Diceros bicornis minor: one gene and its partners. The protein of the gene in region 1 interacts with the protein of each later gene in a pairwise test. Links are inferred from orthologs where the notes say so. Each region holds a gene or a part of one and is shown in the gene's direction. Other genes may lie near its edges.

Region 1 (7,131 bases):
TGGTTAGTGCCCTAAACATGTGTAGAGTGGAGAATGCTACCTCTCTGGTCCTTACTTCCTCATCCATTAAATGGAGTTGGGTTTGCTGATCTCTAGGGAGACTTCCAGTAATAGAATTTATTATTCTAGATCCTTCTACTATTGTTTTATCTGGCCATCTATCTTCTTTAGTTACCAGGAGAAATGTGTGACACCTATATTATGCTGAAAACAATGTATTACAGTTTTCTATATTATTTCAATAAATTTAGTGCAAAAATTAGGATTATAGTATACATAATGTTCTGCAACCTGCTTTTCATTCCACTATTTATTATGGACAACTTTCTCATCAGAGCTAGAGACATAGCTTGTTCTTTCTAATGGCCACAGAACATTTCACAGAAGGGTGCTGATCAGTCACGTATTGAAGGACACTTAGGTCGTTTCTGTTTTTCACTGCTACAAACAAGCCTGGGAGCATTTCTGTAGGAGATTCTTGTAAGTAGAACTGCAATATCAGGGAGTATGTGCATTTAACATTCTTGTCAATGTTGCCAAATCACCCATGAAAAGACTGCATGCATTTATATTCAAGGGGATGAAGTCAGACAGCCAAGAAGAACGGCAAACAGCTGCCAGGTTCGAGGGTTTCTCCGCATGGGGCTATGAGGTCATGCAGACACATCCTGTTTCACCTCATTTAGGATTCTTGAGTCCCCTTGGCATACAGCAATGTCGCCAATCCCTCCTGATTACATATCCTGCCTGGGAAGCTCCTGATCCTTTGAGCCAAAGACTTCTGCACATCCCTCAGGCTATCCAGGCTTTCCTGACTTGGATGGTTTAACTCCTGGAGTTGGGCTTGTCTTGCTGTCTTTCTCACAGTTATTCTTGTTCAGATTCACCACCTCCGGGAAGTCTGCCCTGATCCTCTGCCCAGCCCCTACACACACACACACACACACACACACACACACACACACACACACACCCCCATGCTGGGTTAGGTACCCTCCTGAGAGCTCCCCCAGCCCCTGTGTTTACTCCAGACTGACCACGCTGGCTTGTAATCGGTGTGCCTGGCAATCTCCTGGAATGTCACGAAGGTGTAGTCATAAGCAGCGAGAAAATAAACTTACTTGTGGCTGATTATACACACACCTGGAGACTAGAGACTGGGAAAACACACCTTGACTTTTCCCATTGAGTCACCTTTTGGGCCCAACAGGTCCATGCCAATGGGTTCCCAAAAGTCCCTTCTCTCTTGGCCACCCTCCCTCTGCCCACTCCTGCCCCCAAGGTCTAGGCTTTATCCTTCCAGCACCTGCACACTCAAGGCCAGGGAGACCTCCTTCCCCGGCTCCACGGACGATGGTCACGGTGTCTTCACAGTCCTCTGCGGGAGCAGGATTGGGCCCCTCAGTTCCCTAAGAGCAGAGCATCTGGAAGCTGAAAAAGCAGTGCCGATCTTAGCATAGCTTCATGTATTCAACTAGGCATTTATTGAGTGCTCACTGTGTGCCAGCCATGGGGGAAATAATAATGATAAGACACACGAGATTCCTGCCCTCATGAATAATGATAATAATAATAATAGCTAACATTTATTGAAACTTATTCTGTTCTAGGCACCGTGCTGAGCCTTTATAAGAATTGGGTTTTTTTTAATCTTTTTTTTTTTTTTTTGGTGAGGAGGATTAGCCCAGAGCTAACATCCGATGCCAACCCTCCTCTTTTTTTTTCTTTTGTCTCCCCAAAGCCCCAGTACATAGCTGTGTATCATAGCTGTAGAGTTGTAGCTCTTCTATATGGGACGCCACCTCAGCATGGCTTGACGAGCAGTGAGTAGGTCCGCACACAGGATCCAAACTGGCGAACTCCAGGCCACCGAAGAGGAATGCATGAACTTAACCGCTGCACCACCAGGCCGGCCCCAAGAATTGGTCTTTTAATCCTCACAACAATCCCACTAGGTACTATTATTAATCTCATTTTACAAATGAGGAAACTGAGGCACAGAGAGGCTAAATAGCTTGTCTCAGGGCACTCAACTAACAAGCAGTAGAACCAAGCAGTCCGGCTGCAGAGCCTCCTCCTTTAACCACTAACTAAACCAAACCAATGATGGCCTTCTAGTGGGGACAAATCATGGAGACGTGAACAAATAAAAAAGACACTTTGACTAGTGATAACTAAATGCTATAGAGAAAGTAAAATAACGTCAGGGTAAAGGGGTAAAGAATAACTGGGGGAATGTACGGTATTTTGGATAGGGATGTGCGCTCATCTGCTCATGATCTGCCTCCTGCATTGCGCAGAGCGTCCAGAGGGCGCCACTGTGTGTAGTTCTGTGTGTCCTCAGCACCCTGCCTGGTCCAAAGCAGGCACTCACTGTTTGGGAGGAAGGAAGGAGGGGACAAGGAGGCAGGGAGGGAGGGACAACTCTCTGAGAGGTGCTTCCACACACAGAGCTACCCAGCCTTTGCCAGTGTTTGCCAGCTGTGCAGACAGTACGAGCCCTGGAACCAGGGTCAGGTAGACCGTGGGAGGAATCCTTCTCACACCAGCTGTGTGATCTTGGTCGCTCTCTGAGCCTCAGTTTTCCTTCTTTGAAGAATAGGGGAAATAGTACACCACATGCTGGGCTCTGGACAAAGCCCTTTCACACATCGGGTACTGTCACCATCTTCCCTTTACAGATGAGCAGACGGAAACTCAGAAGCGAGCCCAAGATCTCGCAGCCGGTAAACGGGGGTCCTAGTGGCAGAGGTGAATGAGTCAAAGTCCGCCCCCTAGGGGGCAGCTCGGGAATTTGTGGGAGTGTTCTTGGTTGTCACAATGACAGGGAGGGGGAGCAGGACAGTGGCACACAGAATTGCCTCATGTCCTACATGACATTTGACTGTCCTGCTAAATGTTCATGAAGCTAAAAAACTTATTTACAATGAGCTGAGCCTAGAACCTACCCTCTCCCACGTCATGATAGAGGAAATTATTTTGCTACTTTTACACGTAGTGATAAAGCCCACTACTTTGCAATAACACTGTATTTCTCCACCTTAATTTGTTGTGGTGCGTTATCTTTCTTTTTTTTGTGAGATCAGCCCTGTGCTAACATCTGCCAATCCTCCTTTTTTTTTTTTTTTTGCTGAGGAAGACTGGCCCTGGGCTAACATCCGTGCCCATCTTCCTCCACTTTATATGGGACACCGCCACAGCATGGCTTGCCAAGCACTGCATCAGTGCGCACCTGGGATCAGAACCGGCAAATCCCGGGCCGCCGCAGCGGAGCGTGCTCACTTAACCGCTTGCGCCACCGGGCCGGCCCCGTGTGTTATCTTTAAGTTAAGGTGACTTTCCTCTTTCTCTTGTCATCTGGTCTGTCATTATTATCCCAGCTGTTCTTATTCGACTACCCTCCTGTCTTCACTTTCATTTACTGGGTATTAAAGAACTCACATATCACCCAAATCTGGAAAACAAAAGCTAAATTTAATTCTGGCTCAGGCTAGAGAAGAACACAAGCAGAAGTGCTGCTTCTTGTTCAACAGAAGACAAGACTGGGTTATTATAGGGTTTGGAGAAGGATGGGGTTTAGGTAACACTGAGATGGAACACGTTTCAAAAGGCTCACAGCAAAGTCGCAGTGTGAACAGAGAATTAACACTGAGCAGGTCCTGTTGTGCTGGAACCACAGAGTAAAAAAAAAAAAAGAAAAAGAAAGTGGGGCCGGCCCAGTGGCATAGTGGTTAAGTTCGTGCGCTCCGCTTCGGCAGCCCAGGTTCGCAGGTTCGAATCCCAGGCGCAGCCCGATGTACTGCTCAACAGGCCATGCTGTGGTGGCATCCCACGTACAAAATGGAGGAAGATGGGCACAGGCGTTAGCTCAGGGACAATCTTCCTCACCAAAAAAAAGAATAAGAAAGTGAACTATTGTGTCTGCCTCCTTCCCTGATCTGGACAGCCGGGGCCGGGGGCTGGTGCACGACAAGCTGAGCTCAAGCAGGAGTGGGCACCCGAGGGTGTGGCCTCTCTGGGTCAGATCCTTAGGCAAGAGTGGAAAATTCTACTTTCACATGTTTCTTATCTGAACCCCTCCCTTTAATTCATATTAAATAGGTACAAACACCTATTCACTTCATAATGTTTTCTACCTCAGTCTATCCATGTTTTGAAATACATTTTATTTCATTATAAATTAATTTCCTTCTATGTCTCCTTTCCATTACAGTGAGGGTGTTATATGGAGTTGTTTGGAAACTGTGTGACTAACTCTTACATAGTGCAACTTATGCTGGGCCAGGCACGATTACCTCATTTGATCCTCTCACCGGCCCTATGAGGTAGATACAATTTTATCATCCTCGTTTTTACAGAGGAGAAAACTGAGGCTCAGCGGTGGAAGGTGACTTGCCTAGGATCACACAGGCAGTAGTGGATCAGGGGTTTGAACCCAGGGCATCTGGCTCCAGCATCTGCACTCGTAACCACTCTGCTAGCCTCTCTCTCAGGTGAGGAAATTACCTAGGGACCCAGTTCAGGATATTAAGGGGGCTTTCCAGATGTTTCTTATAAAAGAGGGGGTTGGGTGTCCCAGGGGTGAGAACCACTGACAGAGCACATAGAGTGTTGATATCCTCTCCCTCTCCCTTTTCACTCCGTATTCTGCCACCATGGTCCTGAATCTGAGCCACAATTGGGGTGGGGGTGGGGGTCAGCTGTGTGGCCATGAGCCCAAGCCCAGGAGGGGCACGTTGCAGAGGGCAGGAGACAGACAGCAAGGAGTTGGCCAAGTGAGGCCCTCAGTTCCCTGCTGGCCCTGATCTTCAGAACTGTTTATGCCCAGACCCTGCCTCTCCTCCTCCCCGCTGAGGGGCGGGGATCTCCTCTGTGGAAAAATACCCAGCTGGGCGAGCCCCGGTGAGAGGAGGAGGGAAGGGGGGCTGGGACTCACGGGACGACTCTTTTTCCCTCTCGTGACTGGTGTTTACTGGGCCGGGTTCTGGGAAAGGGCCTGATTGCATCAGACAGGGCCTGAGGGGCTGGAGCCAGACTGTGGGCTGAGGAGGAGACGTGGCCTTATAAGTTGGGGCCAGTGAACTGGGAGGTGTCAGGAAACCAGACACAAACAAAGCTTTAGAAGACGAGAGACAGACAGCAAGAGTAAGCCAGACATGATGGCCACCTTCCCGAAAGCAGCCAGCCCATCCCGGCAGCCCCCAGACCCGGAGGACGAAGACCCCAGCTTGGATGAGTACGACCTCTACAGCCTGGCTCATTCTTACCTGCGTAAGGCCTGGCCTGCCACCTTCCTGGTTCTTCTACTCTGATCCCCATCCCCCACAAACAGCCTGACGCCCCCACCCCCAAACGAGGTCCCCTCCTTGGGCTTCTCCCCACCCTTCACCCTTATCCAGCCAACCTGTTCCTTTATCCCTCGCATCACCCCCTGCTAACCCCTCCTCCACTGAGTGCTGTCCTATTCAGCCTGGGGCCTCATACACTTCTAGAATACTGGAGCAACAACAGCTCATTCCAGCGGCCCCTTCTTCCACAGATGGGGAACAGGGGTTACGGCTGCCCCCAAAGCTATGGTGACAACCCCCCAGTCTCCCTACTCCAGCCCAAGCTCTTTCCCCCCAAGTCCCAACCCCCTGCCTCTCCTTTGAGGCATCATGCCTCTGCCCACCTCACCTTGGCCTCTTGCCTCGGTTCCCAGGAGTGGGAGGCCGGAAAGGTCGCACCAAGAGAGAAGCTGCTGCCCACACCAACCGCCCCAGCCCTGGTGGGCATGAGAGGAAGCTGGTGACCAAGCTCCAGAATACCGAGCGAAAAAAGCGAGGGGCACGGCCCTGAGACAGAGCTGGAGGTAGGGAGTCGGGGGTCCCAAAGCAACAGCAGAGGTCCCTGTGCCTTGAAAGGGACAAGCTTGAATGTGCTGGTTGGGTGGGGAGAAGGGGTCAAGGGACTGTTGTTTCCACATAGAGTAAAATGAAACATACATTCGACTCTGAGTTTGTTAGTGACCAGAGCAAAGGGGAAACATAGACCCTTTCCAATTAGAGGGAAATTTGGTTTACAGAGAGGAAAACTGAGGCCCAGATAGGGTAGGCTCCTTCTCTGGAGTCACACAGCAAGTGAGCGGGAGAGGCAGAGTCAGAACCCAGGCCTCTACGCCTTTGGTCACCTGCTTTCCTTCCCCCAGATGAGGCCAGAGCACGGACACCACAGCAATGGAGAAAGGACTTCGGAAGAATCAGCACCTGGGGGCCGGATCCAGGCCTGCTTGCCCTCCGCCCCACCCCCAGGACTTACCCCACCTGACTGAGGCTCCAAGGGGCCACCAAGGAAGCGCCCCCAGCCCCAGAAAAAGGACAAGATGGGGAGCAAGAGGCAGGGGATAGAGAGGCAGAGTCATGAAGGTACCCCCAAAAAGAAAGACGCTGAAGACCCGGGAGCTCCCTAGGGTGGCAGCGACAATAAACAAAATTCAGCAGCTGCAGCCTGTGTGTGGTTTTTGTCCTCTCTCTCTGTTTCTGCCCGCATGTGTCTGCATTTGCATGAGCCAGTGAGAGCATTTCTTGTTAGTGTTTGTGTTTGGTTATGTGTCTGGGAGGGGCGGTTCCTGATTTTGTAGGGCACCTAGAGGTGAGCATGCATTTTTTTTTGGTATGCGTGTGTTTTGGTGCATACATTTCTGTGGTCTCTTTTGGGGTGCAGCGGGATTTCCTCTGTTTCTTTGTAATGCTGCCCATGAAAAAAGCCCCCTCCCCAGCTCCTCTCCATTTTCGGAAGAACAATCTTGTTGACGATGTCGTATTCATATAACATTGCCTTTTGAAGTGAATGTTATTTCTTGGCGCCACCTGCAAAATGGAGAAAACTGAGATTTAACACATTAAGGGACTTGGCTCAAGTTACCCAGGGCTCAACTTCAAGGATTCTTAGAGTGCTCAAGTGTGAGGGGGGTCCCTTTGCCCGGGGAGCTGCCCGAACAGGATTATGGGAGGTCAGCGAGAGGAGGAAGTTCTTACTTAGTGTTATCAGTCTTGGGATCACAGTTGGAGAAGAACATGGGGCAAAAAAGAGATGTGATTGAAGCTAAGAAGATATATTGATTGAGATACAGATTTGGCTGCTGTAATGAAG
Region 2 (7,855 bases), on another chromosome or scaffold:
GGGAATTCTGGCCTGGCTCAGGGCACACAGACCCTCAGTGGGGGCCACTCGAGGTTCCTGTCTTGCTGGGTTCCCATGTGGGGCCGGATGGCAGGAAGGGGCAGGTGTGGAGGTGCCCAGTTAAATGCCTCCTCATGGTCACATACCAGCCACATACCCCCTTTCCTTGGGGGCAATGCTCTCGAAGGCATTCCCAGGCAGGGTGACTGGGAATGTGTCTGCACACGTGCTCCCCCCACAGCACTTTCACCTGCCACCGTGATGCTGGGCCCACACACTCACAAACAGTAACCAGAGCTTAAGCAAAACACCCACGGAGCTCGAGCTATGCAAATAGGTGCGCACACACAGATGCATGCAGGGATGAGGGGCTGGGAAATGGCGCGGGCAGGCAGAAGATTCCTGGAGACATTGCAGGGGGCACGTGCACGAGGAGCCCAGAACTGGCATCACGGCACGAGTGTGCTCAGGAAGCAGTGATGGCCGTGTACACAGCACATACACCTCCCCCAGCCTCCTGAGCTCGTCTCCAACCAGGGCATCAGTTTGGGGGCATGCCCGGAACATCAAGAGATGCTCCCCCCCTCTCCCCACCAGGCAGGAGCCTCTCGGGGCAGCCAGACCTGTGTGGTACCAGGGCCTCTGGCACAGCTCCCCAGGAGAATGGGCAGGCCCAGGCGTGCTGCACAAGGGAGCAGGCATGTTGGGGGATGGCTCTTACACAATCCCGTCCGGTCGGCAGGGCGGGAGAGTTGAAAGGCCCCTGGCAGCTCCCCAGGCCCTTACGCCTGGGCCAGGAAACCACAGCCTGAAACTCCTGGGTTTCTGAAGGGCGGGATTTTTTGAGGCCTGCTCTACTCAGGCTGCCGCCCAGACTCTGTCATTCCTCTGAGGCCAGAGGGGCTGCCAAGCATGTTGGGCATGGAATCATAGGCTTCCAGAAACTCAGCTAGGCCAGTGCCCTCATTTCCCACTGAACATGGGATGAATTTGCTGAAGACATCGTTCCTTTGTCCAGAGTCCTGCAAACAGTGTGACCCACTTAGGTACAGATGGCAACTGGAAAGGGGGGTCCCGGGAACATGGATGGTTTTCCCGGATGTGCCAGACACTATTTTAAGCACTTTCTAAAAATTAACTCGTTCAGTTCCCACTATAATCCTGGAAGGTAGGTACTATTACTGTGGTCTCCATTTTTTAGAGTGAGGAAGTAACTCACCTAATTTCACATAGCTAGTGTGTGGCAGGGCTGGAACTTGAAGCCAGGCAGCTTTACCAGCATTTATAGTCTTTCTGGTCTTTTGGGAATCAAGCAGAATTTAAGACAACCAGTTAGGAATACGGTGGAAACGGCTTAGCTGCAAGGGTTGAAAACTTAAGTGCCTACAGGGCTCAGCAGGTGAAATAAACATGTGACTCAGGACTGGCAGGGAGAGGCCTGTGGTCCAACTGGAAAGTGTGTAGACAGCCCACGCCATGTCCATATGCAAATTCCCTAAAAACAAAACTTGCCCGGAGGCCATTTGGGGCCCCTGGCTTAGACCAGTGCACTTCGGGCTGTAAACAGACCGGGGCCAAGAAATGCTGCCTTCCTGGGCCTACCAGCTTGTCTGGGGTGGGTTTGAAAGGCCTCAGAAACAGCAAAGGGCAAAAATGCCTCAATGAGTGGAAGTTAACAGGGGCCAGGAAAAACAGCCTGTTCAGAAACAGCAAAGAGGTGGGGAGTTGCCTGTCACTGGGGGAATGAGGCTCTTGGTAGCCTAAATAACTCCACCAGTTACGAGCTGAGCCATCAAATGCCACACTCTGAGGGCAAGGAGGAGGTTCAAGGAGGCCACTTCTGCTCCAGGGCTCATCTAACAACGCAGATTCCTCCATCCTAGGATTTTAGCCCCAGCCTGGTCACTGAGTTACTTGGTTACTGCAAGTCCCTTGCCATAATCCCTTGGTCTGCTTTTTTGACTTGTTAAAAGGAGAGTGATAAAATATTAGAGGTTGAACCTATAAATTTGCTGATTTTTAACCAAATTTTTTTGGTTTTGACCTACAAAAACACCAATTTTCATACGATTCAACCCTATAATTGTCCGGCCTACCTTGCAAGGTGCAGCAAATAAACGAAAATGCTTGACGTATGAGCCAGAGTCTCACTGCCACATATGCAGCAGGCACTCAGTGAGGCTAGGCAGATGTGAATGCTGGTTCCAGAACCAGGTGGATGTGAGCCCCTTCCTTATCCACTTCTAGCAAAGCCAGCTGCACGGGGACAGGGTCAGGCAAAGCAGTTCCTCGAGGGAAACTCACTTTCACCTAGCTCCTCCCCCATGTTTGCCCCTGCCCCCCCACCCCAATGGCCAGAATCCAGAATAGTCACGTATAGTTTTCAGCTGTGGACAGAGACAACTACCTAAGGCCACCATCCAGACAGGGAAGACGACTCAATCGCCTAGATGTGGCACAGACCAGGCTCTCGCCGCTACATCCGGGTTTTGTGGACTAACAATCCCCTCGAGGATAACCAGAGCTTAACGGATGCGCCGCAGGTAGAAGGCGCTCTCCTGCCCCATTTATGATGTCGCAAATCCCTCCACCTCTCGGAGAATGTGGCACAAAGGAGGGGGGTCGCGGCGGCGGGGGGCAAGAAGTCCCCTCCTCCTCTGGGGCGAAGGGCGGCCCCAGGTCCGCGGAGCAGTAAAGGCAGCGGCGGCGGGAGGGAGGAGGCCGAACAAAGAGTTGGGACGCGTGGTCCTTGGGGACACCATTGTCAGTCCCTTGGATCGGCTCGCGCCCACCCTCGGGAGAATCCCACCTCCAGCCATTGGGGCGCCTTGGGGCAGGGCGGAGACCTGGCGGACGCCTCCTCCGCCGCCGCGTAACCGGCACGGGATGGCGACCGCCGGGCAGAGGGAAGTGGTGCGGTGCCCCCGCTCTGTCCCGTATGTGCCCCATGTTCCTCCAGGCCAAAGGACAGGGACCTCGGGCTTCTCTCTGCCCAAAGGACAACTCGTTCGGGGAAGTCCTACATGCCAGCGGCCAGACTGTCAGATGGGAACAGGGATGCGAGCCTGACGCGTACAGGACAGGGACAGCAGGAGGGGGCCCAGACCCGGGTGGCGCCCCGGCACTCGTGCCTCCTCCCGGCCGGGCAGCGGAGCCCGGTCCTGGGGAGGCAGCCAGGCGAGTGCGTGGTACCCACAGGAAAGGGGAGTCTCGCGGTGGGAATGGGGGGCCCCTAACCTAGGAAAACCAAGAAGGGCGACTCAGTCTCTCCGTTCTCTTCTGATTTCAAGCTTTAATGGACTTGGCACCCGTTCCCCCTCCACGATCCCAGACTCCGGGTTTTCTCCGTTCCCAGATCGGCGGCCCCAAGAGACAGACAGCGGAATCTGCCAATGGCAGGACGCAAAGCGTCAACTTTGTGTTCGCCCGCCACTCTCAGCCAATGTGCGCTCGTTTCTCCGAAGTCCCGCCTTCCGTGTCGGGCGCCCCCTGCTGGCAACGCAGGAATGAACCGTATCCGTCGCCATCTTGTGTGTGGCACAGATATTTTTCTGGAACATCTTTCCACCTTTTCCAATTTTTCCTCCCACACAGCTGGTTTCTTAGTTCGAGAGCCGAGTGCAGTGGCGATAAGGAGGGTGTAACCTACGGTTTTCGGATCGCCTGCGTAGGTCGGATCGCCGCGTCACGCCACGCTTGCCGAGCCCAACGCCATCTTGAGTGTGGCGTTAGGATGGTTCCCTTCTCGGGGCTCCGCGTGGTTCCCCAAATGGCGCCCTGAACTTCAAGGAGCCCCCAAGGACTAGCCCAGCTGGTCTCAGAGACGGTTATTTCCCCCCAATAACCCCGCAATGTATAAGTTCGTGTGCCCCTCGCAGCCCCTTAAGTGGGGTGGGAGCGGGGCAGATTCGATGGCCGGGACCTGGAGAGAGGCTCCCTGAGGCTGTCGCGACGGCAGTCACCGACCGCTTGGGGCAGGCGCTGTCCAGAACCCTGTAGTTCAGGACCGCTGTGTGGTGCGACGCCCGCGAGCTAGGAGTCCTGCTCGAGGGCAGGAGCCCGCTCCGGCCCTCGCGCCCCCTCGATGCACGAATCCCCGAGTGTGTGTGCTTGGCACGGAGCCCGCTCGTCGGCTGGCTCAGGCGGCGGAGGCCTGGGCTGATGGTGGGCGACGGGGTCCCCTACCCAGGGACTCCGGGCGCCCGGGGCTGGACGTGGTAGGACGGGGCGGCCCAAGTACGCGGCTCTCGGCCTCGCACCCTGATCGCCCGTCTTTGGGGTTTCCGCCCACTTGCACTGGGACCACTCTCGGTCGAAGGTGCCCAGGCGCCGGGGGCGGGCATCTCCGCGGGCACTGCGCAGGGCACCGCCCGGGGCGAGCGCAGCCCAGCACCGGGCCTTCCCCTCCCCCTCGCTGGCAGCCGTCGCGAACGCCGGCCGCCGCCTCCTCTTCCCTCCCCCTCCTTCCGAGCAGTCGCGGGGAGGGGGAGGACTGGGGACTGGGCGGGTAGCTTTGCCGCGCTTTGGCTTTCTGCGTCAGCAGCCCCAGCAAAACAGCAGCGGGAGCGAGCGTCCTGAGCGCGCCCGCGCGCCCCTCCCCCCGCGGCGTCGGCGCCGCGGAGACCCGGCAAACTCAGGCCTTGAATGACAGTGCGGCCGGCGACTGCGCAGCGCGGGACGCACCAAGGCACTGCCGCTTTAAGCACGCTTGCCCATTGTTCGGAATCGAGCCAATGAGCGAGCGCCCGCTCCCTGCGCTCAGCCAATAGTATTCGGGCAAGGGAGGCCGAGCGCCGCCCACAAATCTATATTAAAGGTTCTGGCGCCGCGTGAGTTCCCCACTGGCTGCTCTGAAAAGCCATCTTTGCATTGTTCCCGTGTCCGGCTCCCCGCTCGCCGCAGCCGCCTCCGCCGCGCGCCTCCGCCGCCGCGGACTCCGGCAGCTTTGTCGCCAGAGTCCTTGAACTCTCGCTTTCTTTTTAATCCGCTGCATCGGATCACCGGCGTGCCCCATCATGTCAGACGCGGCCGTGGACACCAGCTCCGAGATCACCACCAAGGTGAGGCTGGACGCCGCCCGCCCCTTCGGGCTCCGCGCGCCGCTGCCGCCGGACCGGGGTTTTGCGCGTGGTTGCTGGGCTGCTCCGAGCCCGTTGTTACTCCTTCCCGCGGGGAGCCCACCTGCCCCCGGCCTAGGTCCCCAGGCAGCCCACTCTTTGTGTGTGCGGGGGGGGGGGGCGGGAAGCGCCAGACGAGATGCCCGTCGGGGAATGGGCCGGGCGCCCTCAGGGACTCCGGGGGGCGGGCGCGGAGGCTGAGGGGCTCGTGGGGAGGCTGCTCCAGGGCTCCCGAAACTTGTTTGTGACTGGTCTGAGCAGCGGCGGGAGGAAAGGGTCTGGGCTGGGGGTCGTCGGCCCGCGGGGCGCACGGAAATAACTTTGAAACTCGAGCGCGTTTGCAATCGGAAGTGTTGGGGGGGCGCGCGTGCGGGCGCGGGCCGGCTGCGGGAAGTGGCGGCTCCGCGGCGAGCGCCCGGCGGCGGCGCTGCTCTTTGTTCCGCGCCGGGCCGCTCTGTTTCGCGCCTTGCAGTGGGTCCGAGGAGGCTTATCTGGACTAAGCTCCGATAAGGCGGAGTGGGGTGGCGGGCCGGCCGGCCGCGACGTCGATCGTCTCCGCGGAGATGCGAAGCTTCTCTCCGCCCGGGGTGCCCTCGGGGAGGCGGGGGTGGGCGTCCTCCGGGGGAGCGCGCCGGGAGCAGCCGCCCAGCTTCAGTAGTTCACCAGCGATGCCGGGCTTGGCTGAGGAGGAGGCGAGCCCACGCGCTGAAGGAGAGGAAACGGAAAGTGAAGGAGCGGCGCGCCGGGGCGACGATGGGCGCCCCCCGCGGCTGCCCGGGAGCACCGTGTGCGCGGCTCTTCGGGGGCGCCACGGGCGAACAAAAGCTGTGGCCGTGGCTGGCCGTGGCGAGGTCGAGCCGGGCGCCGGGGGCCTGTCGGGGCTCGGTGCTGCGGGTTCATTGCCTTCGGTTTTGAGATTCTGCGCGTTTGGCGCAGCTCCTCTCCTGCGCGCCGCTTTGGTTCCGCTGCTCGCCCCGGGGAGCGTCTCCACCCTCGGCGGGAGCGCGGCACTTGGAAGTGGACCGGCTTTTTTATCCTTCGGTTCTTGTCCGCGATCCTCTCGTGTCCCTGCGGGGACGGGCGCGAGTCACCTTGGCGTCTCCTTAACCTCGGTGCTTCTGGCGTCACCTCTGGTTTTCCCCCAGGGGCGACTCCCCCGGCGGAGCGGAGCTTGCGATCTGCCTTGCCGCAGGGGCTCCCGCCGGCCCCCTCTGGGCCCAGCCCGGGAACTAGTTTGGGGAGGACGATCGGTCCTCTTATGTGCAGGCGCCCACGTTCGCTTTTTCTCCAAGGTGTTTTTCCGCTAGGGGCAATAAATCGCCCCATGGAGCGCGTCCCCGACGGTCTCCGACTGCGGGGCTGAAAAAGCCCCGCGGACTTCGGGGCGGCCTCCCGCGGGACTTTGCCCGCCAAATGCAGAGCCGCAGGCTGGCGCATCTAGGCCCGCGGGGGGGGGGGGGCGGCGGGAGGCCCGGAAAGACCGGCGCGCAACCTGCGCGCTCGGCGGAGCCTCGCGAAGCCGGCGGGCCCCGGGTCTCCAGGGTCAGGGGCGCACTCGGCGGCCCCGGGCCACGTGCTCCGCGCGCGCGGTGCGTGCCGAGGCCCGCGCGCAAAGCCCGCCGGGCGGGGGCTGTGCGCCTGCGCGCCGCGACCTCCCCGCCCCCACCCGCTCCCCGGGGCTTCGGCCGCCAGGGGGCGGGAACGGGCGGCGCTGGGGTCTGCGGCGGGCTGGCCGGCCGGGGCGAACAGGGCCGACAGGTGCCCCCCGGCCTCTCGCTGGACGGTGCCGGGCGGCCCCCCGCGCCCGGGCCGCTCGACGCCTGTTTGTGTTGGCGGCCGGCTCGGCCACGCCGGGTGGAAAAAGTTACGGAACTTAGGAGCAGCCGTGGTGGTTCTGCCCTTTGGAACGCGGGCCGTGTGCGCGCCGCGAGGTGCGGTGCGATGGCTACCCCGAGTCACCGCGGGGACGGGCGAGAGGCCGGGAGGGACATGGGGCGGTCCTGGGCGCACGTCGCCGGCGCCCATTTCCAGGCAGCAATCTGTGACCTTCTGGGACAGCTGTCGGATATGGGACATTGGTAGGATCTCGGTTTCTTCAGAGACCTACGCTTGCCGGGTCTTGGGCGCCCGTGGGCGAGGAACTCGGGCTCGGCTGCGAGGACTGGCGGGCGAGGCGGCCTCCCCAGCTCTGCCTGTTCGTTCCCGCCCAGTCCCTTCCCAGGCTGGTCCACCCCCGGGAATTCTCCCGCGGTTTCAGGGTTCTCCCTACATGACTTGGTTTATTTATGGTGTATACGTGCTGCCTTCCAAGAAGGATTTGTGGGAGGCGGAGCTCCTGTGCTTGGAAACAAGTCGGTGATAGGTGTGTGAGTGAAGTGTCCCGGGCTCGTCCGCCCGGCCAGACGGGTTTGGGACTGTGCTGCCACATGGCTTCTTTCCTCAGAAGCATGAGTATGTGGGCAGTGGGACCAGACGTAGTGGGCCCTTTTTAGTATGTTAGTGTGCTTTAAGGGTTGAAAAATCGGCTGAAATCTTGTCCATAGTCGTGCTCGGTATGCTGTGGTCCCTCCTTCTAGCGGTTCCATATGTAACGTGCGGCTCTTTCACCTGTGGCTGTCCAGGTCAGCACGGCACGTACACCTGTAGCCTTTGGGCCTCTTTGCCAGCCCTGGGTTACTTAGAAGACTTACTGGTTTACTCTTGCTTTTTTGAAGGACTTAAAGGAGAAGAAGGAAGTT
Region 3 (7,500 bases), on another chromosome or scaffold:
TTTCAAGGCATCAAGTCCCTAACTTACCTATCTCTGCTCCTGCCTGCTTCTCTCCCCATCCCTTCTATTAAAATGAAGGAAGCAGTAATGGCTCCATCAATGGCTTCACACACTTTGCATCAGAGGCTTTCAAACTAGGGCTTGCATTCCCACAGGAACATGAACACTTTCTAGAAGGTAGGTGGATACAGATAATTTTAAGGGAATCAATTTCCAGAGCTTCCTCCTTCATATGGTCCATCTCCTCGTATTGATCAGCCTAAGAAGGAGCCTTAGGTCAGCCAGTTCTCCTTCCTGACCTCCACTTTCCCAGTTGACCCCCTCCTTCATTCTGAATCCTATTCTGGCGCCTCACTCTGCAGTATAAAAAAACAATAAAAGAACTACTTGAGAATGCTCTGCTTGAGGAAGTCCTTGAGACAGCAAAGCCTAGAGAGCTTTTATGAGAAGTTGCAAAGGGGCAGCCCTGTAGCTCAGTTCTGTGCCTTTTCCATTTAAGAATTCAAATTCAAAAGTAAGAGGTTGATACAGGATAATAACCTGTATAATAACCACACTTATTTGAATTGAAAAACAAAATCATACTTTTTCTGATGGAAAGTCAATCTGATTTGGCTGATGGGTTTGACAGGACTAGCTTTGCAAATAGGATATATGGTGGACATTTTCCCAGAATGGAATAATTTAAATCTGCGGCTCCATGGTTTGAAGAAAAATACATTTATTTTATTTTATTATTTTTTCCCCCAAAGCCCCATTAGATAGTCGTATGTCATAGTTGCACAGCCTTCTAGTTGCTGTATGTGGGACGCGGCCTCAGCATGGCCAGAGAAGCGATGCCTCAGTGCAAACCTGGGATCCGAACCCGGGCCGCCAGCAGTGGAGCGCGTGCTCTTAACTGCTAAGCCATGGGGCCGGCCTGAAAAATACATTTAATATACACATACAACTTCCCCTTCCAGCCAAGATGGAGTAGTAGGAACGAGATTTATCTTCTTTCCTGAAACAACCAACCCAACAGAAAAAAATATATGAGACAACAGTTTTCAACACTGGACATCAGACAACAAAGGACGGTGATCTCTTCTGGACAAGAAACAAATGAGATGAGCCTTGTGACAGCCCCAGCTTACTGCTTGAGAGAGTTTCTAGGACATACTACAGGGAGGCAGAACCCAGGCAGGGCCATGCAGACTCCCCGAGCTGAGGAGATAGCTCAGAGTCTGGGGCAACCAAGGTAGCTAGAGTGGTCAGGACAGAATACTGACTGAGAGGAGAAAGGTGCACAGAGAGAGAATTCTAGAGATCTGCAAATGGCCCCCCTGGAGTATTCAGCAGAGCACTGCTCAGCATATAAGTGTGAGGAAACTACTTGAGACCAAGGAAGGAACTACCCAAAATGACTAGAGGGAACAGTAGCCAGTAGTCACCTAGGGCTGGAACAGTGCCAGTTCCCATCAGCCACACTGGAGAACCTGATAATTTATGGAGCATTGGTTAGAGTTCTCAGAAGGAGCTTGCCTCTGTAGTGGGAACTCATTAGCCCTAGTTTAAACACTGCTGGCTCCCACGTAACAAATCTCAAAAGCAAGACCTGAAAAGATGAAACTGTTCCTAAGTATTGTAACTGCATCCCAGAACAAACCTCAAGAACATTTACAGGAATGCAAAAATAACCAGCGCCCAAAAATGTAAAAAATTCACAATGTCTGGGGTCTAATAAAAAAATTACCTGTCATGCAAAGAAGCAGAAAAATATGACCCATAGTGAGGAGGAAAATCAATTGACACCAACCCAGAACTGATACCTATGTGAGAATTAGCAAGCAAGGACATCAAAACAGTTATCATAATTGTATTCCATATGTTCACATAGCTAAGTAGAGACTTGGAAGATATAAAAAAAAAAAAACAAAATTGAACTTGTGAATGAAAACTAAAATGTCTGAGATGAAAAATCACTGGATGGAATTAACAACAGTTTAGACACTACAGAAAAAAAAGATTAGTGAACTTGAACTTGAGCTAGCAATAGAAATTATCCAAAATGAAACACTAAAAGAAAAAAGAATTTTAGAAACAAAGAGCATGAACAACATATAATAGGTAGAAGGTATGTCCTTTACAAATATTTAAAATTGAAAAAATTTAGGGGGCCGGCCCCGTGGCTTAGCGGTTAAGTGCGCACGCTCCGCTACTGGTGGCCCGGGGTTCGGATCCCGGGCGTGCACCAAGGCACCGCTTCTCCGGCCATGCTGAGGTGGCGTCCCACATACAGCAACTAGAAGGATGTGCAACGATGACATACAAGTATCTACTGGGGCTTTGGGGAAAAAGAAAAAATTTAGGCATCAACTAAAAATAGGTAAGATGATTGTTTTTTTAAGTTATTTTGTGGAGGTACATGAATAAGAGTTTGAAGTTGCTGCTCTAGATCCCGTCTTCCTTTCTCCTTTCTCTATGACTTTGCTCCTGTGATCATCCCATCTCCCCATGAAATATCCTTTTCTTCCTCTCAGCATATGTACCAACTAGTATCTGCATCTTCAAGAAAACCCTTCTTTGACTGCCACAACCCACCTCCAGTTACCACCCAACTACTCTACTCCATTCACAAACTCTGTCTTCACTTGCCATCTCTGCTGCCTCATCTCTCCTGTACTCTGTGACCTGTACTACCGTGATTCCACTCAAACCTCTCCACCAGAATTCCTCTTCCTGTACTCACCAATGACTTCTTTGTTGTTAAATTAAATAGATCCTTTATAGTTCTGATCTTGCTTGCCCTTTCAGTTATTTTCAATAGTTTACCACTCCCTCCTTCAGCAGTTTACGACTTCCTCCTTCTTAGCTTCTAGGATACCACCCATTTTTTTTTCTTCTCACCTCTCTGGCACCTCTTTATCAGGTTTCTTGGCTGGCACCTTCTTATCATTGCAGCTTCTACATGCTGCTCTCCCTGTCCTTGGCCCTAAGGCTCTCTGTACACTTCTTCCTTTGATGATCTCATTCAATATCGCAGCTTTAAATACATCCATATACTCATGACTCCCAAGAGAATATCTCCCACCTAGACTCACCTCTGGGCTCAAAGACTATATTTCCAGCTGCCTACTTGACAGCTCCACTTGAATATCTCAGAGGCATTTCAAGCTTACCATGTTCAAAACTGAACTCTCAATCTCCCCCCAAGACAAAATAGTGACTCTATCCACACAATTATTCAAGCCTGGGAGTCGTCCTTAAGATCACCCTCTCCCTTACCCCTTTACCCCCCACATCCAATCTAGCACTGGGTCCTGAGATTCTACCTCCAAAAGCTGTCTTAAATTTGTCTGCTTCTCTACATCTCCACTACTACCATCATGGCCAAACCACCATCATCTTTCACTTGAATGGTTACAGTGACCTCCCAACTGTCTCCCTTGTGCCACTCTTGCCCCCCTTCAATCCATTCTCCATGGAGTAGCCAGAGTGAGATTTTTAAAATATAAATTGAATAACACTGTCCTGCTCTAATACTTCAGTGACTTCCCATTACTCTTAAGATAAAATCTAATCTCTTTACTTTTGGCCTACAAAGGCTGCCATTTGATTTCTTCCAACTTTATCTAGACCACTCCTCCCATCTTTCAGTCCCTTCTAGGAAAAAAGCCCATTCCTACCTTGGGACTTTGCATTTCTCCCCCCTCCCCCATTGTTCATCCGATTAACTTCCACTCGTTCTTCATTAATCAATCATCATCTCAGATGTCTTCCCTGACTCCCCAATTTAAATTAGGTTTCCCTGCTTTTCTCTCTCACAGCACATTGTAGTTTTCCTTCAGAGTTTTACTACTGTTGGTAGATACATATTTATTCGGGATTTTTTCCCAGCTTAACTGAGATGTAATTGACAAGTTCGTGTGATTATTTTCCTAGACTGTAAATTCCAGGAGGGCAGACCCAAGGTCAGTCTTGATATTTGCTGCCTCGCCCACCATAAGCCCTCTTCGAGTAGTGCTCAATAGGTGCTCAATAAATATTTGCTGAGTGAAATGAATGAGTGCATTAAGTGCTTGAGAACTCTGCACTGCTGAGAACTCTGTTCGCTAGGAGTAGCTTTGAATCTCTGCTTAAAATCTAGATAAGAGTTATTAAAGTCAGGACTGCAGGTAGGTACCTCAGGTATTTCCGCCCACAGGCCCTCTTCAAACCCCACCTGCCACTCTCCACCCTGTAACATGTAGTTTCCTCCATCCAAATACCCTATGCTCCTGGAAATCAGGCATCATGCAATGTACCTAACAATCACAGACCAAATAAAGAGAAGGATTGTGACATGGATCTAAACGTGACCACGAGTGCGTCCCAAGCCCGAAATATGACGCCGGGGGCTCATAGCTCCATTCAGGCCGGCAAAGTGCACAACTCCCCTCCCCCGCCCAAAGCTGGGGGCTCGGACACCCATCGTCAAGAAGCTCCGGCTCGCTCGGCTGCTCGTACAGCATGGCAGCCCCCAAAGGCGTGGCCCACGGCAGTGCCTGCAGTACAAGATGGCCGCCTACAGGGTACGCACCGCACCCCCTTCCGCCCGGCCACCGGAAGTTTCTATTTGAAACCCAGGCGGCAGACCCGGCCGGCGGAGCGGCAGTTGCTGCAGAGCATCTTCCGAACCAGAGCGACGAGGGCTGCAGGCAGGAGCAGCAGGCGCCTGGGTTCGGCTCTCCCGGGGCGAGGGACTGAGCTGGGTGTGGGGGTCGGACGAGGTGGGCTGGGAATGGAGGATTTTCTCTCTCTCTCGAGTCCTCCCCGGAGTCGGGGCGCGCTCTCCCTGGGCCCTCCACCTGCCCGGACCCCTTGGCCCACCCTGGGTAACATTCACCTTGCACCTTCCAGGGCCCAGCCGTGCCGCCTCGTTACGATGACCAGCGTGGTTAAGACAGTGTACACCCTGCAGCCCCCCTCTGTGCTGAGCGGCGGCCTGCCGGCAGGTGGGTATCCACGCCGCCCTCCTCGGGCACTGGGGACCAGCCTGGGGCGGTCAGGCCGGGAATGGGGGGCGCGGGCAGAGGGAGGGCATTTCATCGGCTCTGACAACCCTCTAACTCCCCTAGAAGCGGGCTGTCTAGGTGTACGATGGGAGTTAGGGGAAGGGCCATGTGGTAGGATTTTAGACCTGCCCTGCACCCCTCCTCCCCCAAACCTAACCGTGCTGGATTCACCAATTAGATTTCGCTTGCTGATTCTTCTACAGTATTATTCCCATTAAGCTAGGAATCCCTTTTTAAACAGTTACCCCTTTTATTTCAAGACTTGGGCTATCTGGAGGGACTGGGTTTGTTGTCAGGGAGAAGAGAGGAGAGTCATTTGAGAAGGGGATACTAAGGGGGAAGCGCTAGGCTTCACACTGTGTGGTTCACATTTGATATGCACAGTGTCTCTTCTATAGTACATTCTCAGTAAATGTTGGTAGAGTGAAGTGAGAGAGAGGGGTCAGGCCTAGCTAGAGTATTCCAGAACCTTGGGAGAAGAGACATGATTAAAAAACATTTTTGATGGCTTTGCCATCTTGCTTTGTGTTACTTGGCTTGTGGTTGAAAGTCATCTCTTAGGGCCTTCAGTTGTGGAGCTGCCTAATCTAGAGATTATAGCACAGAATAAACTTCAAACATCAGAGCCTGTTGTGGGAGATTTTGAAGCAGCTATATAAGATCCCTTCCCAGGTGACTCCACGCAGCTGGTTGATGAGCAGGAGCAGGATTGGTCTGTAAAGTAAATAGACTTTTCTCCGAAGCCTTCAGGGGTTGTTCTGTTTGTCTTCTGTTGCCTCAGAGAACACCTGAATGGTAATCCTGGCCTCCAAGTTGCTGGGGGAATTGCATCCATGTCTCCTTCCACTGCCTTTCCCTCCGAGAGCAGTGCCCCTCTGTCAGGGGGGTATGACTGATGACTGGCTCTCCCCAGCCAAGTCGGAAGTTTTCGTCTCTTTGCTCTCTATCCCTGTCTTAGAGTTATGATAATATGTAACCTCAGTGGTTTGACATTCTTAGGCTGTATCCCAGGTTTTTTATTTTGATTTTGAGCATGGGTTAGTTGTTTTTAAGTTTTAGTTTTTTGACTAACATATGCACATTTAAAAAAAAATCCAAAGTTAGAAAATGATATGCAGGGAAAAACAAGTCTCCTGCCTTCCTTGACACCAGGCATCCAATTCCCCTCCCTAGGGTCTCTTTTTTTTTTCTTTTGGTGAGGAAGACTGGCCCTAAGCTAACATCTGTGCCAGTCTTCCTCTGTTTTGTATGTGGGATGTGGCCACAGCATAGGTTGATGAGCAGTGTGTAGATCTGCGCCTGGGATCCTGGCCCCGCGAACCCTGTGCTGCCAAAGCAAAGCGTGCGAACTTAACCACTACACCACTGGGCTGGCCCCTGCATTTCTCATTTTAAGAAGACGGGGCCAGCCCTGTGGCTTAGTGGTTAAGTTCCCATCCTCCGCTTCGGCAGCCCGGGGTTCGCCGGTTCGGGTCCCAGGCATGGACCTACGCACCACTTATCAAGCCGTGCTGTGGCGGCCTCCCACATAAAGTAAACGAAGAACGAGGATGGGCACTGATGTGAGCTCAGGGCCACTCTTCCTCAGCAAAAACAGGGGGATTGGCAGTGGATGTTAGCTCAGGGCTAATCTTCCTCACAAACACATGCAAAAAAAAAGACAGTGTTTGTTAAATTCTGCTAAATTTTTCCTACAATGCAGTCTTTAAGTTCTAGCAAATATGGATTATTGGAACCAACTTCGATCAATGAAGAGTGTTAATTTTGATCAATTTTCTATTAACTCCTTTTTACATGGGGTAGATTTGTTATTGTGTATAACTTATTAATACTTGAGAGAGGAGAAGGTACATGCATTCCCCTAAGGTTACCTTTTGCTTCAGACAGAGACCTCAAAAAGAACCCTTTTAATATTTGCTTTGTGGGTAAGAGTATGGAAAATAGGGAGCAAGTGCCTGGTGAGTATACCTATAAATGAAATAATTTGTTAGCCTGAGAAATCATATTTATTCCAAACTGTCATGCAGCTAGAGTCATCAAAATTAAATCTTTATCAAATACAAAATTTCCTAATCCCTGTGATCCAGTGCTTTGGACCTCATTTCTTCAACCTGATTTAATTGTTAGGGCTTAATTGTGTGGCTCTTAGGTCAAGCTTAAACAAGCCATTTTACAATGAACAAGGTGAAAGCATCAACTAGAAAAGCGCATGGGTGTGGTGTGGTATGTGTAGTGGAGGGCTGGTGTAAGGGCTAGAGGGAAAATGCTCACCTCTGAGGAAGAGGAGTTTCATGGCAGGGCCATTTCTCTGGTTATCTGGCAATAGCCTAGCAGGAAGATCAGAACAGAGTGCCAAATAGGGAACCTTGAATAAACAAATTAAAAGGGCTGGTGGAAAGGTGATCAGCATGGAAAGGGGTAAGAAGACTAGAAGAGCTAGTTTAGAGATGGTCTGTGAAATAATCCA

Evidence for each region.
Region 2: the proteins of NUPR1 (region 1) and PTMA interact in binary tests that used the Homo sapiens proteins (3 or more experiments, as listed by UniProt). The link is inferred for Diceros bicornis minor from reciprocal best matches to the Homo sapiens genes NUPR1 and PTMA.
Region 3: the proteins of NUPR1 (region 1) and KNSTRN interact in a two-hybrid assay, tested with the Homo sapiens proteins (2 studies listed by BioGRID and IntAct). The link is inferred for Diceros bicornis minor from reciprocal best matches to the Homo sapiens genes NUPR1 and KNSTRN.

The regions. Positions count from the first base shown.
Region 1 is NC_080765.1:22,008,477-22,015,607, forward strand, and holds NUPR1 (nuclear protein 1), read left to right. Parts: upstream 1-4,355; 5' UTR 4,356-5,156; coding exon 5,157-5,271; intron 5,272-5,701; coding exon 5,702-5,838; 3' UTR 5,839-5,851; intron 5,852-6,187; 3' UTR 6,188-6,613; downstream 6,614-7,131. UniProt on the Homo sapiens protein: Transcription regulator that converts stress signals into a program of gene expression that empowers cells with resistance to the stress induced by a change in their microenvironment.
Region 2 is NC_080776.1:20,082,638-20,090,492, forward strand, and holds the start of PTMA (prothymosin alpha), read left to right. Parts: upstream 1-4,843; 5' UTR 4,844-5,015; coding exon 5,016-5,060; intron 5,061-7,831; coding exon 7,832-7,855.
Region 3 is NC_080744.1:38,259,129-38,266,628, forward strand, and holds the start of KNSTRN (small kinetochore-associated protein), read left to right. Parts: upstream 1-4,488; coding exon 4,489-4,697; intron 4,698-4,878; coding exon 4,879-4,973; intron 4,974-7,500. UniProt on the Homo sapiens protein: Essential component of the mitotic spindle required for faithful chromosome segregation and progression into anaphase.